Linked DNA regions of Rhinolophus ferrumequinum. The protein of the gene in region 1 purifies or fractionates together with the protein of each later gene. This does not show direct contact. Links are inferred from orthologs where the notes say so. Each region holds a gene or a part of one and is shown in the gene's direction. Other genes may lie near its edges.

Region 1 (7,148 bases):
CCCCAACAACTCTAGTGTTGGGAATCCCTCAGCCAAGGGCTACCAGCCTAATGAGACAGATTAGCTAGCATGTTGTTAGGTAGACAGGAAGGTCCCTGGTGGAATAAACAAAAGGCAGCCATATCCTTCACTCCAGGACACAGATATAAGAATGCGCCTTGAGGTTAATAAATTATCTCATAAATTCCTTTTGGCTGGACAAAAGGAACAAATCTGATACATAGGAATGGGTTCATTAATCCCTTTAGGGTGGGCAAACAGGACAAACCTGATAGATGAATTCCATTATAAGGCCCCAGCTCCCTTCTCCAAACTGGCACGGGAAGGTATAAAAGTAAGAGCTTTTGCTTTAGTCACTGAGCACCCTGGTCGGGACCCCCTCTCGTTCTGAGAGCTGCAACTCTTTACTCTTTACTTTTAATAAACTATCCTTTTTCACAACTCCTCACCTCTCCTTGGTCCGTGCTTCCATTCTTCGGTTTCATGAGACACGATCCCGGCACAAAGAAAATATTCTACATCACTAACATTCACATCACATCAAGACTGAATGAGCTGATCACACTGTCTACTCCTTCATTATTTGTGTGCTGATAACGCATGCCAAAAAAATCACCTCTGTAAGATGGGGTCAAGAGAGAACACAGGCTTTCAGTTTAGAGGCTGACATACTTTTATCAAGGGTGCTTATGAAATCAAAGAGATATCGATTTTTCTAACATTGGTGGCAGTTAAAAAATGTTTAACAGAACTCTTAGATATTTTTGAGCCCATGGCAGGGTTGTGTTGACAGAATCCTAGAATTTTAAAATAGCATAGAAAACTTAAAAGTCATCTACTTCAATCTCTTCATTTTATAGATGAATTAATCAGATCAAGAAAGTCTAAGTGACTTGTTGGAGTCAACTAATTAATGGTGAGCTGAAATAGAACCCAGTCCTATTCTCTTTCTACCGCCATGATGTTGGAGCCCAGCAGAATTCCACAAGATTCCTGAAATGCTCCCCATCTCTCTTTCCCCTTTTAAATACAAATACTCATTCTGAAAATGAAGGGGAGTGGTGGTGTCAATGAGGGTAGTATATCATAAAGAAAGAGCTTGGATTCAGAAATAGTCGTGGGGGGCAGCCGGTTTGCTCAGTCGGTTAGAGCGCAGTGCTCATAACACCGACATCCCCAGTTCGATTCCCACATGAACCATTGAGCTGCGCCCTCCACAACTAGATTGAAAACAATGACTTGACTTGGAGCTGATGAGTCCTGGAAAAACACACTGTTCCCAAAATATTCCCAATTAAAAATGAATAAATAAATAAATAAATTAATTAAAAAAGAAAAACAAAAAAAGAAACAGTCTTGGTTTTTAATCTAGTTTTATTACTTGTTTGTATTTCTGAGCTTTAGTGTCTTCAGCGACATAGGTATAAATTATTATTAAATAATAATGAGCTGCCTCAAAATATTATTGTGAGGGTAATAATAACCTATATAAAGTGCCTGGCACACAGTAGGTGCTCAATAAGCCATAACTATTATTAAGTGGTTACTCCCCCCAATAACAGATATATTAAAGTAACTGTTTTCATGCCATAAATATCCTCGTTTTTGTGGAATGGAGTTGACAATACTGACACTTTTATAATAAATTAGTACTTTTATGTGTAAATGAAAATTACACATACACCCACCTACAGCTGTCTGTTAAAAAAAATCCATCTTTATTAAATGAACAATCGGCAAACATAAGTCAACTCTACACAAATCAATATTCTTTCTCTACCGCCCACTGTTTCATTTGGATGCTTGAAAACAATTCTTATGTCTTTAGACACAATCTGCTTACTTTCAAACTGTCTGAAATGAAACATGAAATTGTATTTTTAAAAGTACAACAGGCCCTGGAGTATGAGGCAATCCAGGAGAGGGCACAGCTCTATACGCCACATCCTCTGCGTAGGTGATGGATCCCTCAGAGTGGTAATTACCCAAGAATCATCCCCATTGATAAAAATAACTATTTGTTTAATACTTTATAGTGAACAAAGGGTTTTCACATATAACAATTTAACTGTTTTTAAGAAACCAAAGAAAGGATGCTATATGCAACAGAGGCAAGGATGGGGAATACTATCCAGATATATTGGCTCACTAGATAATTGAATCTCTATTACTGTTACTAGTTTGCTAGTGCTGCTGTAACACAACACAAAATGAGTGGCTTAAAGCAGCAGGCATTTATTGTCTCGCAGTTCTGGAGACCAGAAGTCTGACATCAAAGTGTTGGCAGGGCTGTACTCCTGCTAATGGCTCTAGGGAAGGATTTGTTCCAGGCTGCTCTCTGAGCTTCGAGTACATAGTTCCTTGTGTGTGGCAGCATAACTCCAATCTTCACATAGCAACCTCCTTATGTGTGGGTCTGTGTCTAAATTTCCCCTTTTTATAGGACATCAGTCATATTAGACTAGAGCCCATACTAATGACCTAATCTTAACTTGACCTTATATCCAAATAAGATCACATTCACAGGGGTTATGTAAATTGTAGAGGGACACAATTCAACCAGTAGCAATTGCCATATCTTTTCTCCTTTTAACCTTGCCAAACACACAGGTGGCAAGCAGCATTCATTAATTCATTCATTCAATGAACATTTGAATGCATATATGTCAGGTTCTGTACTGGGTATTGATAACGCAAAAAAAAAAGAGAAATGGATGGAGCCTGTCTTTGAGAAGTCACACTTCAGAGGGAAGCAGAGACACATGATAATAAGTACAATTATTGAGCACCTACTTCGTACTTGGTGTTCAAATAGGCACTTTTCATTCAATCTTTACAATAAGTGATGTATCAGAGACAGGCCTGAGGGATTTGGTGAGGTCCTAATCCGCTCTGGGGAAAGGATTGTTTTCAGAAATTAGGTAGCATTTCATCTGAGTCTAAAGGAATGTGCAGAAATATACTAGGTAGGGTAAAGGTGGTTGTAGGGAGCAGCAGATTCCAAAGAAAAGCATTTTATAGAGGAAAAGATAGCACATGTAAAGGTTGACATACAGCTTGTACACTCTACAGAGGGGTGGGATTTTAGCCTATTTTCTTCTCTCCTGTATCTACAGCACTTTGAAGAGTGCCTGGTTGTTGAATGAATATAAGGGCATCATACGAATAAGGAATGGCTTGCAGTTCACTGTCGTTGGAAAGGTGGGCAAAGAGCCCTGTAAACCACACTAAATGTAAGAGACTAGGGCTGACATACTGATGTTACAGCTCTAGTATTAAAAAAATACAATCAGTCTAGGAGTGCTTGGCACTCGCCCTGCCAATTACTCCTCTTCCCCAGACCAAGTCCAAGGGTACAGCGTGGAGGTCCAGAAGACTGGTAAGGGCGCCAGCTCCACACATGCCAAAGTAGGGTTCTCTGCACAAAGCTCGACTGAAGCAGATGATTTGGGATCAAAGTCGACGTGGATCCTCCAACTCTCCTTCTCCCACTCTACCGTGCCCTCATTCCCCGCGGGGAGCCATCGCTGACTCTGGATGGGTACCAGTGCGTCTTCAGGCCTTCCGGGGACCCACAGCGGAATCCCTGAGCGCGCTCCCGCTCGCCTGCCCCGCCCTACTGACCCCTGGAACGCAGCAAGAGCGCACGCGCCCCTTCCAGAGCCAAGCGCGCGCCCGCGAGCTCCCCGCATCCCCGTGCTCATCCGGGTCTCAGCAAGCCTCAGCCAATGGTGGACGCTCGCGGCCCCCAAAGGTGGAGCTAAGCCTTCCTTCACGTGGGGCCTGTGATCGCCGCGGGGGCATCCAGGCAGCCGCGATCAGTCCGCCGAGAAAAGGGGCAGAGACCGAGAGCCCAGTGGCTGGGCGAGGATCGACGGTTTTGAGACCCAAAGGCTGTCGGCCCCTAGAAGCAACTGAAGCGCGAGCACATTCCTTAGTCAGAGCCGCTGTAGTAAACACATTTCAGAAACGTGATGTGCCGGTGGTCACGTGGCCAGCGCGCCCTCCAATGAGGAGCCGGGGGCGGGGCCGGGGCCTCTGACGCGGTGGTGTCGGCGGAGTCACCCGGGCCGCCTCGGGACCCGTCACCGGCGGGCAACCGTCCAGCGGCCTGGACCACCGCCTCCGTGCTTCGCGCTCCGTCCTCACTCGCGTCTCTGGGCGGAGAGGCAGCGTGGCCCACGGGGGCTGAGTCTTCGCTCATCCCTCTCGGTGGCTTGCCTCGGGCGGGCCGCTTTCTTCTCAGGAGCCGCCTCGGGGAGGTGAGGTTTCCGTGACGAACCTCCCGGGGCTGCGGGTGCCGGCTCGGGTTGTGGAGGAGGCTTGAGCCCTTGGAACTTGCTCACCCTCTGGGGGTCCGAGGCCCTGGAAGTTATGCGACTCGTCCAGGCCGTTGCGACGGGCGCCGGCTCCTAAAGGGCGTCACACCCGGACTCCGCTGACTGGGCAACCTAACCTCCATTCATCTTCCAGCTGCGCCTCCAGCGCCCTCTCACTCTCTGGTCCCTTCCCCGGACTCATTTTTTTCCTCTCCCCCCGTCGGCCGCCCTGTTCTTACTCCTTGGGTGCGGCGATTCTCCTGGAAGCCGAGGTGTCGGGTATGAGCCGGACCCTCGTTCCTTGATTCTCTCCGTGGAGGAACTCGGCGGGGACCCGCCGCCCGCCGCGCCGCCGGGATGGGGGTGAACGCCGTGCACTGGTTCCGAAAGGGGCTCCGGCTTCACGACAACCCCGCCCTGAAGGAGTGCATTCAGGGTGCCGACACCATCCGCTGCGTCTACATCCTCGACCCCTGGTTCGCCGGCTCCTCCAATGTGGGCATCAACAGGTGGCGGTGAGTCAGAATCCCGGGGGAAATTGATTTCGGTGTTTCAGGAATCGGGACTTGACACGCGATCGGCCCAGTCGGAGAACTTAAACCTGGGACCGCCTTGCTTGTGCCGTTTTCAACGTTGTAGACGCTTTAAGTATGAAATAGAATGGGTTTAATAGTTCGCTGGCGAGGGAGTGCTGGCCACCGGGAACGCCTTGGCCTCCGCCGTGAATGTCGTGTCTGCGTTAATGGGAACTCTCTTCCCGGATTTGTGGGGAGTTCTTCGCGGTGGAGTTAAAGAAACACCCTCCTCTTTTTCAGGGGCCCGTGGGTTGATTTCTTTGGCCTCCTTGTGGCATCGGAAAGGATTGTGTTTTTTAATGTGTATGTGTGTGTGGGTCTCGGTAAATCGTAGTATGGAGAACATCATTCATTCAGTACCGTCGCCTCCCAATCCCGTTTTCTTCCACCTTGAGGTTGCGGGAGGAAAAGCAAGGGAAACATCTGGTTTCTCTTTGCTCAGCTCTGCCTCTCAACTCCTCCTTGTGGTTGACTGGACAAAGCACCGTTTTTCTTTCTAGGCAAAGTATAATCCTTCTAGGGATCAGAGTAGTGGAAGAAATAGTAGAGAAGCTTGATGTTTTTTTCCTGAAATACCAGGCTAGTTGATTGTTAGGCCCCCTGGTGGAAATGATAGCATTCTACTGCATACCAGGCGTTGCTTTAAACTCCAGGGGATATACTAGCAGTGAATAAAACCGACTACGATTCGTGTCCTTTGTAAGCAGGTGTCCTAGAAAGTAAGATATGCAGTATTTGGTGGTGATAAATGCTATGGAGAAATACGAAGCAGAAGGGGGATGAAGAAATACGAAACAGAAAGGGGAAGAATACAAGGAGTTGGGATTAGAGTTGTAATTTTAAGTGTGGTGATTGGGAAAAACTCAGAGAGAAGTGGCAGTTGAACAAGGTGATGAAGCAAATACGGATTGTGGATGTCTAGGGGAAAAGCATTCCAGGCAGCAGGAGCATAAGAGAAAGGGCCCTGAGGTGGAAATGTGCTTCACCTTTGGAAGAAACAGCAGGAGAAACGAATATGAGGAGCAGAAGTGGAGGAAAAGAAGTAGATGAGGTCAGAGATGAAATAGGGCTAGATTGAGTAGAGCATTCTAGGCAATTATTAAGATTTGGGCTTGTACTCAGAGCAAAGTGGGAATAATTGCAGGATTATGAGCAGAGATGTGACATGCTCTGACTTAAGTTTGAAAAAAATTTCTCTGGCTGTGAGAACAGACTGAATTGGAGGGGTGCAGGAGGATAAGAGGCAGGAAGACCAGTTAGGAGGCTGTGGCATTCACCCAGGTGGGAAGTAGTAATGGCTTGGACATAGTGATGGTTGGTGGTGGACTTAGTGAGAAGTAGCCAAAAAGTGCTGAATATATTTTGAAGACAGAATCCACAGTATTTGTTGGCAGATTGGACATGTGGTGTGAGAGAAAGAGAGGAATTAGGAATGATTTCAGAATTTTTGGCTTAAGGAACTAGAAGGATGGAGCTGCACTTTGCTAAGAACGTGACGTCAGTCAGAGAAATCATTGGGGGAGGGTAGTGGAGTTCTCTTTTGAACTTGGTTAAGTTTGAGATGTTTATTACACATCCTAGTGGAGATAGCAAATCGGTTGTTGGAGTTCAGGGCAGAGATCCAGGCAGGAGGTATAAATCGGTGAGTCATCAATTTGTAGATAATATTTAAAGCTATTCATCCATATATTTGTCATACACCCAATGCATGGCAGGCACTGTTTTAGGTGCAGGGGATTCAGCATAAACAAAATAGCTAAAAAACAAAACAAAACAAAAACCCCTACCTGTTGAAGCTACATTCTAGAGGAGTCATGAAACTATATGAGAACATTAAGAAAGTTTGTGTAGATAGAAAAGAGAGGAGGTGCAAGGACTGAGCCTTGGGTGCTCTAGTGTGTAGAAATTGTGGAGCTATGGAAGAACCAGCATAGGAGATTGAAAAGAACATCTAGTAAGGTAAGAAGAAAACCCAGAAGAGTGTAGTGTCTTATAGACCAAGTAAGGAAAGTATTTCAAAAATGTTTTACGGACATCAGGTGCTGCTGATAGGTCAAGTGAGATGAAGACTAAAAGTTAAAAATTGTATTTAGCACTTTGAGGTTATTCATAATCTTGATAGAGTGGTTTCAGTAGTGTCAGAGGCAAAAGCCTTTTTGGATAGCTCAAGAGAAGCTGACAGGAGAAAGGTTGGGAGACTACTGATAAAAAGTTCTTTTAGGGGTTTTGCTGTAAGTGGATCAGAGAAATGGTG
Region 2 (7,823 bases), on another chromosome or scaffold:
TCATTAATTCATTTAATAAACATTTGAGCACCTGTCCTATATCCACACGTGACAGTACAGGCTCAGAAAGTGGGAACTATATACCCAGTTGCTCAGTAACCACGACTTACACACAGAAGGGACTTGACGAATGAACTCTATGAGTTAGCGCGTAAATATGTGCAGTGCACTGTCAGGTGCTCGGGATGTGACCCTCACAGAACACAAAGACAGAAATGTAAAGAATATGAAGTTAAGAACTATAGTCAACGTTTCCCAATAATAAAAGATACCATTTGTTGAGGCTGACGGTGGCCCACACTGTGCTGATGCATCGGTGTGGCCGGCAGAATAGCGGGCCTCAAACACACCCATGTCCTAATCCCAGGAGATGTATGTTGCCTTACATGCCAAACAGGACTTCGCTGATGTGATCGAGGGTGCAGACCTTGAGACGGGGAGATTTTCCTGCATTAACACAATAACCTCAATGTAATCACAAGGGTCCTAATATGGAAAAGTACGCAAAGTCAAACACCTTGTGTTTAGCCCACATTGGACTTTGGACCTTCAGAACTGTACAATACGAAATCTGTGTGGTTTTAGGCCACCGAGTCTGTGATGATTTGTTACAGTAGCAACAGGAAACAAATACAATGGGCTTCACATGCATTATCACATTTTCATCTTCTATAAACCTATGAACTATTATTTTCCTTCTGCAGATGAAGCAACTGAATTTCACAGAGGTTAAATAACTAGCCCAAGGTTTTGCAGAGAGTAAAAAAGACAAGAAGTTTAAAATATCTCAAAAATTGTTTTAATTACTTACATAGTGAAATGATATTTTGGATATATTGAGTATATATTTAAATTAAATATTAAAATTAATTTCACCTATTTGTTGCTTCTTTAAAAAACTGACTTCTAGAACATTTTAAATAATGTCTGTGGCTTGCATATAATTCTAATGAATAGTGCTGGCCTAGAATCTCATTCTCAAAGGTTTGGAATTTATCACCCATCTTTGGACTTTTTTGAGCAAGAGACATGTGCTTTAGGGAACATAATGCAGGAAGCAGGTTAGAAGGTGGCTTGAAAAACACTGTCCCTGGTTTGCTGACCAGCTGGAAAGTTTTAAGTGTGGTCTTGGGAAGAGTTGATAAAGATTCACATCAGTCTCAAAACACACTTCTCTCCTTTGAGGAGTTTACAGTCTAATCCCAGGTAGGGTTAAAATCCAGAGAAATGGCACGAAATGAAATGGTTTGGGTAGGCTAATTTGCGAAAGAGGGAGGTATATGCTGGAATAACTAACGGGAGATGTGGGCTTGCTGAGGCAAGACGCCAAGTTGGAGTGAGTGTTCTCACTGGTGGAGCTAGAGCCAATAGTAATAACAACAGTAACGTAGCTAGCATTTACTATGCCTGTGCCTGTGCTTTATATGTGTTAACTCATTTAATGCTCAGGACAACTCTCTGTGGTAGACTTGTTATTATCATTCCCATTTGGCAGATGAGGAAACTGAAGCACAAAGAAGTTAAGTGGTAACTTGTCCAAGCTCGCATATCCAGTAAAGGCAGAACTAGGATCAAAACCCCAGCTACGGCCCAACCCACATCTCCATTCCGATCTGGAGCAGTTTTGACTAAGCAGTGGAGACGGGGCTCTCAAGTTTGCAAGATCCAAGAAGGGAATGGAGGAGACAAGAACTTCTCCTCCTGTTGGGAAACACCACACAGGGGGGAACTGAGAGAAGAGAGCTTCAGAAAAAAGGAGAGGAATTGGGGAGAGAGAAAGCAAAAGAGTGGGAAAGGACATTCTAATCTCAAAGACCCTCCATTTCTATGAATCAAAGGAATAACTAAGGCAGAATTAAAAGCTCTGTTCCTCCCCCACTCAACTGCGCTTCAGAGATCTACCTGCCCCTCAGGAAAGAATTTCATACCTCTTTCTTATAGTAAGGCCAGTGGTTGGTCATGTCAATTTGGAGGCAGGAAATCCATCAAAAAGGGGCAGGTGTAAGCCCATTTTCCTGGGGCTCCATCCAAGACCAGCCAGCCCCAGGGACCATCACCCCTATGTTACTAGGCAGAAGTGTCCTTGGTGAATGGCAGCTATGGAGAAGATGCCACACCCAACTCACTCCCAGAAACAGGACACGGTGACACCAAATTGCATGACTGCCTTTCAGTTAGAAGGAAAAGTCATTTGACACCCAAGGAAGAACCTTTCCAGATCAAGTTTGCACTGGTAAGGAGTTTTGGTAGCAAGCAAAAGAAAACAAATTCAAAATAACGTTAGCCAGTAAGAAAAAAACGAAATCACTGTGATACCTCCAGGCCTTGGAAACAGAGTTAGAACCAGGGCTGGAGACTCTGGCTCCCTGGCTCCCTCTAGGTCCTCTTGCATCTCTTTTGCTTTTCCTTTTTCTCACCACAGAGCACCTTTTTCTGATTTCCAGACCAAGTGGTAGGAAATGACCATCTATAGTTCCTAGGGTTGTTTGTTATAAGTCCAAGCATCCAAGGAAGGGATTAATAAAGCTGACTAATAAAGCTGGTTTTCTTTTTTCTTTTTTTTTAATCACATGCAGTGACAATTCTAAACAGGGTCAGTAATAAAATATTCTTCTCTGTTGGACCCAACTACTCCGCTGCCACCCTTCCTCTTCACCACAACTGATAAATGTAAATAAGTATTGACTGATTCAAAAATAAATACGTCTCTTTTAAAAAAATAAAAAATAAAACATTTTCATAATAATAGGGATGAAGAGGGAGAATTTGACAGGTAAATTGAACCAAGATCCTTCAGGGAGAAGATAGCCTGTAATGAGGAATTTAAAAAGGAGTACAATTGGAGTGTGACAGTCTGAATGTGGTAATAATATATACTCATTATGTTTGCTGATTTAATGTGGTTTGCTGATCATTTATAATGTTGACCTAGCTTTAAATAAATGGGCCTGTATCTGTTTTTCTTCCTCTAGTAATTACCATTACCTGTCTAAAAACCTGCTTCATCATTCAGTCACTCAGGGACCTAAAAAAATGTTGCAGTTCAGGTACAACCACAATATGTTATTAGAGACTTTGTTCAGTTTGACTTGATGATTCAACTGTCAGGTCCTAACAGAAAACACTGGCGTTTTTCCAAGTGAGTCCAAATATAATTTTACACATGGCTTCCTAGCTCAATTTGGGGGTTTGGAGGGGTGTGACCTGGAAGAGTGCAGCATCACTCCCTTCCAGTCTCCTACACATGGGTCAAATCCTTGAAAAGCCATCTTTGGATGGAAAATTACTTTCTTTTTATTTTTGAGGCAGGCAGGAGGAGTGGTGTATGACTCAAGTTATGATTTTGCACCTAAGGACAATCTAACTTTTTAAGAAAACCCACAATCCAAAAATCCAAACGTTTAAAACAAGTTAACTAGGTATCAGGAACAAAGATACGTCGATTTACAAAAGGGTTCAGCAGAGGTTTTAAATAACTATTCCCTTACATTTTCCTTATTGTGTTTCAGAAAGCTATTTACAGACTTCAGGAGTCTATTTTATAAAGGAGGTTTTTAAAAAGCATTAACTCTGATGATAAAAATCGTTTTTAGAAAAATTGAAAAATATATTTTGAATATAAAAATCATCTATACTCCCAGCGTCAACACTGTCACCATGCTGGTATACATCCTTGCAGTTTGTAAAAACACCTTATGTAGACCGGTGTATGAAGTGTGCATAGTTTCAGAGCTTGTATTTTAACCTCTCGGGCTCCGCGGCGCAGGAGTGGCCGTCCGAGGCCGCGCCCGGCCGCGGAGGGGTGTCAGGGGCTCACAGCTCCTGTTTATCCTCCTGCCCCACGACCGGCAGCTGGGCTCCTGCAGGCTCCAGACACTCCCTCCTTTCCTCATTCTGCGCCACCTCCTTCAACTTCCTAGTTCCAACCACAGATAGTCTCTTAGACATCTCCTTAGCTCCAGCCCTCCCACTCTGGCACCAAAACCAAAAATCTCCTAAAAGCAGCAGTCACGTGGAACCTGGAGGCGGAAGCCCCCCAGCTGCGCCGGGCAGTGCGCGCTCCTGCGTGGGCGCGGCCCACTCGCGCCCGCCGCGCGTGCGCGCGCGCCACTGCGGACACGCGCCCCCTTCGGGCGGAGACGCGCCAGGGAAAGCGCGCGGCCGCGAGCCCCGGGCGCCATTTTGGAGTCGGTGTCCGGGCCGAGGTGCCGAGGGTCTCCGCGGCGGCGGGAGCTCGCTGAGTTTTTCACCGCGACGAGTGGTCTCGGGGGCAGGACGCGGACGGCGCGGGACTGGGAAGGAAGGCTTCTCTCTGGGCAGCCAGAGCCGCAAAGGTGGATCCGCATTGGTGCCCTCCGCGGGACCAGCGTCTCGGATGCGGGCGGAGCGCGGGGGGCCGCGGCGGCGGGAACCCGAAGCGCGGGGCCCGGGGGGCCTCATGTGAGAGCCGCGGAGCCAGCCGCCGCCATCCCCGGAGCCCGGGGTGGTGTGTGGGGGAAGCCGCCGCCGGCAGCAGGTAACGGCGGAGGGTTAGTGCCGGAGCCCCGCTGTGACGGCGGGACTGGGGAGGGTCGGCCGACATTGGTGGACTGCAGGGGGGGCCCGGGGGCGCGCGGTTCCGGGCGCGCGTGGGCCGCCCCTCGCGAGCGCGGGGCGGGGCGGGGCGCCGCGCTCAGACCTTGGAGCCTGCTTGGGGGCGTTTCCCCGCTCGCCCGCTTCTAAACATGTCAACAAGGCGTGGTGCGTGCGCGGCGGCGCGTGCAGCCTCCCCGCGGCCCCGCTGCGCCGCGGCTGTAGCCTGGCATTCTTCTTCTTGGCAGGGGTTGATGACAGGCACCTTTGAGCTCGCGCTGGGTCGGGGCCACGCCCGTGCCTAATCGCTGGAGAAATGAGGGGCATTAAATGTCAAAACAGACGGTCCAGGTAGGGCGCGCGAGATAAGTCAGGGAGGTGGCGCAGGGAGGAGGACATGCCCGGGGCGCGCGGCCAAGTGGAAAACTTGGTCAACTTGTGATGAGCAGCTGCTTCAGGTGGCGCTGCAGACAGGGATCAGGCAACAGCCTATCAGATGATGGGCCTGCATCTCTGAGCTAAGAAGTGAGATTACTACTGTATGTGTTATCTTGTTGCTGATGATACCCAGTGGCCCAGATATTTTAATTAGGCTTTTATTTTCTATCGTTCCTGAAATATTTATAAAAATGCCATTGACTGCCAGTTATCTACAAATGACCACTAGACAGATTTTCACCAGTGCATTTTCCCTACCTTCTAGTTCTGAGAGTTAATCTCTTTCCGTGGCTTTATTTTTGTATGCCAGCCAAAGAATGCGTGTTAATTTTGGTATTAGTCAAAGCAGAACATAAATGGAAAGGAAATACGAGGCCAAAGCAGGCTTTTGAGAGCTAAGTATAAATGGGCTTTTAAAATTACCACAAGCCCAGTGTACTAAGAGTGCCTGATACAGTGAGGGACGCACGGCTAAGTGGTCTCTTGTGCCCTTCATCTGACACAAGTGTGACTGCTCCTTTCAGAGTATGTGGAAATAATGAGTTAGTTCAGTAACTCCCTGCGCTGCTCAATGAATCTGCAGTTTTTCCTCATTAGTTTCATAGTGGTTATATCAGTCCCTCACCAAATGCTCTGCTGGCCCAAGTTGCATCAATTATTTAGAGCCCGGAAAAGTTGCATTTTGAAATTGAATTGCTGGAGCCCTGAGGAGGCCTGCCTGGTTTTGATGCTCTACAAAGTCACTTTGACATTGATTGTCCAGCTTCCTTTTCTTTCAGTCCTGTTAAAATATAATAGATGTGTCATTTTGATGAAAAGGCGGAGATAATCCATTGATGTAAATTCTTGGCAGACTGGTGGGTGCTTTGAATTGTTTAACTTTCTCTACAGAAGGACTTCATGTATAAATAGATTTAATAAAATACTTTTGAAAGCCATGTAAATTTTTGCATGGATAAATGAGATCATCTTGGAAAAATTGACATTTATAATTTTTATTAGATGCCCACTGGGTGATCTCTTTTTTCATGCACAAATGAGGATAATACAGAGACCATTTTTATTGGTATTTGGGCTTAGAGTTTTTTCTATTGCTTAATGGACTAGAATCCTGAAAAATTATAATCATATCATATACATGGTAATTTACACACTTTGTTCTGCTATTTATAAAGTAGTAAGTGCCTAAAATACACTTTGGTGATCACATAATCTTATATCTAGATGAAGTGTTGCATACTTCTTTTTAATATGTCAACTTTTTTCTCCCCTCAACTTGGAAAGGTACTGAAATATACTTTATTTAAAACAGGGTGGTAATAGATAAAAGAAAGTATCTATTAGGATCAGCAAAGTATTAGTAAAGATAATTGTGTAAATAAGACTGTCATTTTATTTTCATTTATATGTCCATATATTCTAAAGTAAGATGAATCATCTCATCTTTAAGTTGGATAGTTCTGGGTTTAGACGACTTCTCCAGAAAGAGGAGATCAGCATTCTGTAATGAGGAGTAGAAGTTATAAAGATGGCTTCATTCTTTTTTCCAATCTCTGTTATCTCAAAATTCTGAAGAGGTTTAGATATTCAGAAGAGAAATTATAAGCCCGAGGTAGCAAACTCTTTGTTCTTTGACCCAAATTTTGTACGCTAAAATTAAAGTAAGCCTTCAGAATAAGTGAAAGAAAAACAGGTCATAATGACAGTGTTATTTCAACCTCTAGTTGGACATTATTACTGTGAGAGGTATTTTTAAATTAAGATTACATTGTAGATTATACTACTCGTTTCTAAACGTATATTTAGAAAAGCGTTCTTAGATTCACACGTAAATTTTAGTCTTCCGTGAAACTACCCTCTTGCCACCACCTCTCATTGTTTTCTCCCTTTCTTTCCCCCTGCTATTTCAATAGGATATACACCATTTACTTCACTTAAGTAGAGCAATGAGGAAAAGGCAGTTTATTGCACATGTGCTAAGACCTCCTGAGCTGATTTTAATGGCATGAAGAGCAGGGGTCTCTGCCATTGTTTCCCTCCAGCCCCCAATCCTTTTTCACAAATTTTGCTAGCTACTAGGTACAGAATCTGCAAAGACTTATTCATACATACGCACATCCATTGTCCCACACTGGAATCAGAAATTCTTGTCTGCTGATGTGCCAGAAGAAGAGAGTTGGAGCCACAAGCTATCCTTTTCAAAAGCTACTATGACTCCAAATCCAAACCACCACCTTGCTAGAACTGCTCTCTAGAGACAAAAGTATTGCAGGCTCTAAACTAAATAGAGGTACTACTTAGTGGTCCCCACTTAGTTTAGAGCCTGCGATACTTATTTTTCTAAGTAACAAGCCAAAACAATTTTATCTGATTTACCTTTTTACCTGATTACAACGTTAATTCATTGACATTAAAAGAAATACATAAAATATAGAGAGTCATATTGGCAAAAAAAAAAATTTACCTGTAATCGCACTATTAATATAGTATGATCCAATTAACTGTTATAGTTACTATAATTAATGTGGTGAATTTACTTCCAATGTGTATTTCTCATATGTAAACTTCTTCTATTCTTGCCCTCTCTCACACACACTTCATTTTAAAACAGAAATAGGATCATTTTCCCTACTTTTACTGTGTTGTGCACTTTAATGTCTTTAATACTGGACTGCTTTCCTATACCTGAGTTGGACTGCATTACTGTACCTGAGTTCAACAGTCACCTATCTCGTTTCAGAAGCCCTAGTGCTTTTTACTAAATTCCTTCAAGAACTCTGTGTGTTATTTTCATTTTATAAACTGAAACACAG

What was found. The genes of interacting proteins can lie anywhere in the genome.
Region 2: the proteins of CRY1 (region 1) and FBXL3 purify together in Homo sapiens (affinity purification with mass spectrometry; 4 studies listed by BioGRID and IntAct, counting the BioPlex papers as one, with this or other methods). This does not show direct contact. The link is inferred for Rhinolophus ferrumequinum from reciprocal best matches to the Homo sapiens genes CRY1 and FBXL3.

Annotation. Positions count from the first base shown.
Region 1 is NC_046293.1:13,616,993-13,624,140, forward strand, and holds the start of CRY1 (cryptochrome-1), read left to right. Parts: upstream 1-4,058; 5' UTR 4,059-4,676; coding exon 4,677-4,834; intron 4,835-7,148.
Region 2 is NC_046287.1:27,890,915-27,898,737, reverse strand, and holds the start of FBXL3 (F-box/LRR-repeat protein 3), read left to right. Parts: upstream 1-4,820; 5' UTR 4,821-4,888; coding exon 4,889-4,923; intron 4,924-7,823. UniProt on the Homo sapiens protein: Substrate-recognition component of the SCF(FBXL3) E3 ubiquitin ligase complex involved in circadian rhythm function. Plays a key role in the maintenance of both the speed and the robustness of the circadian clock oscillation.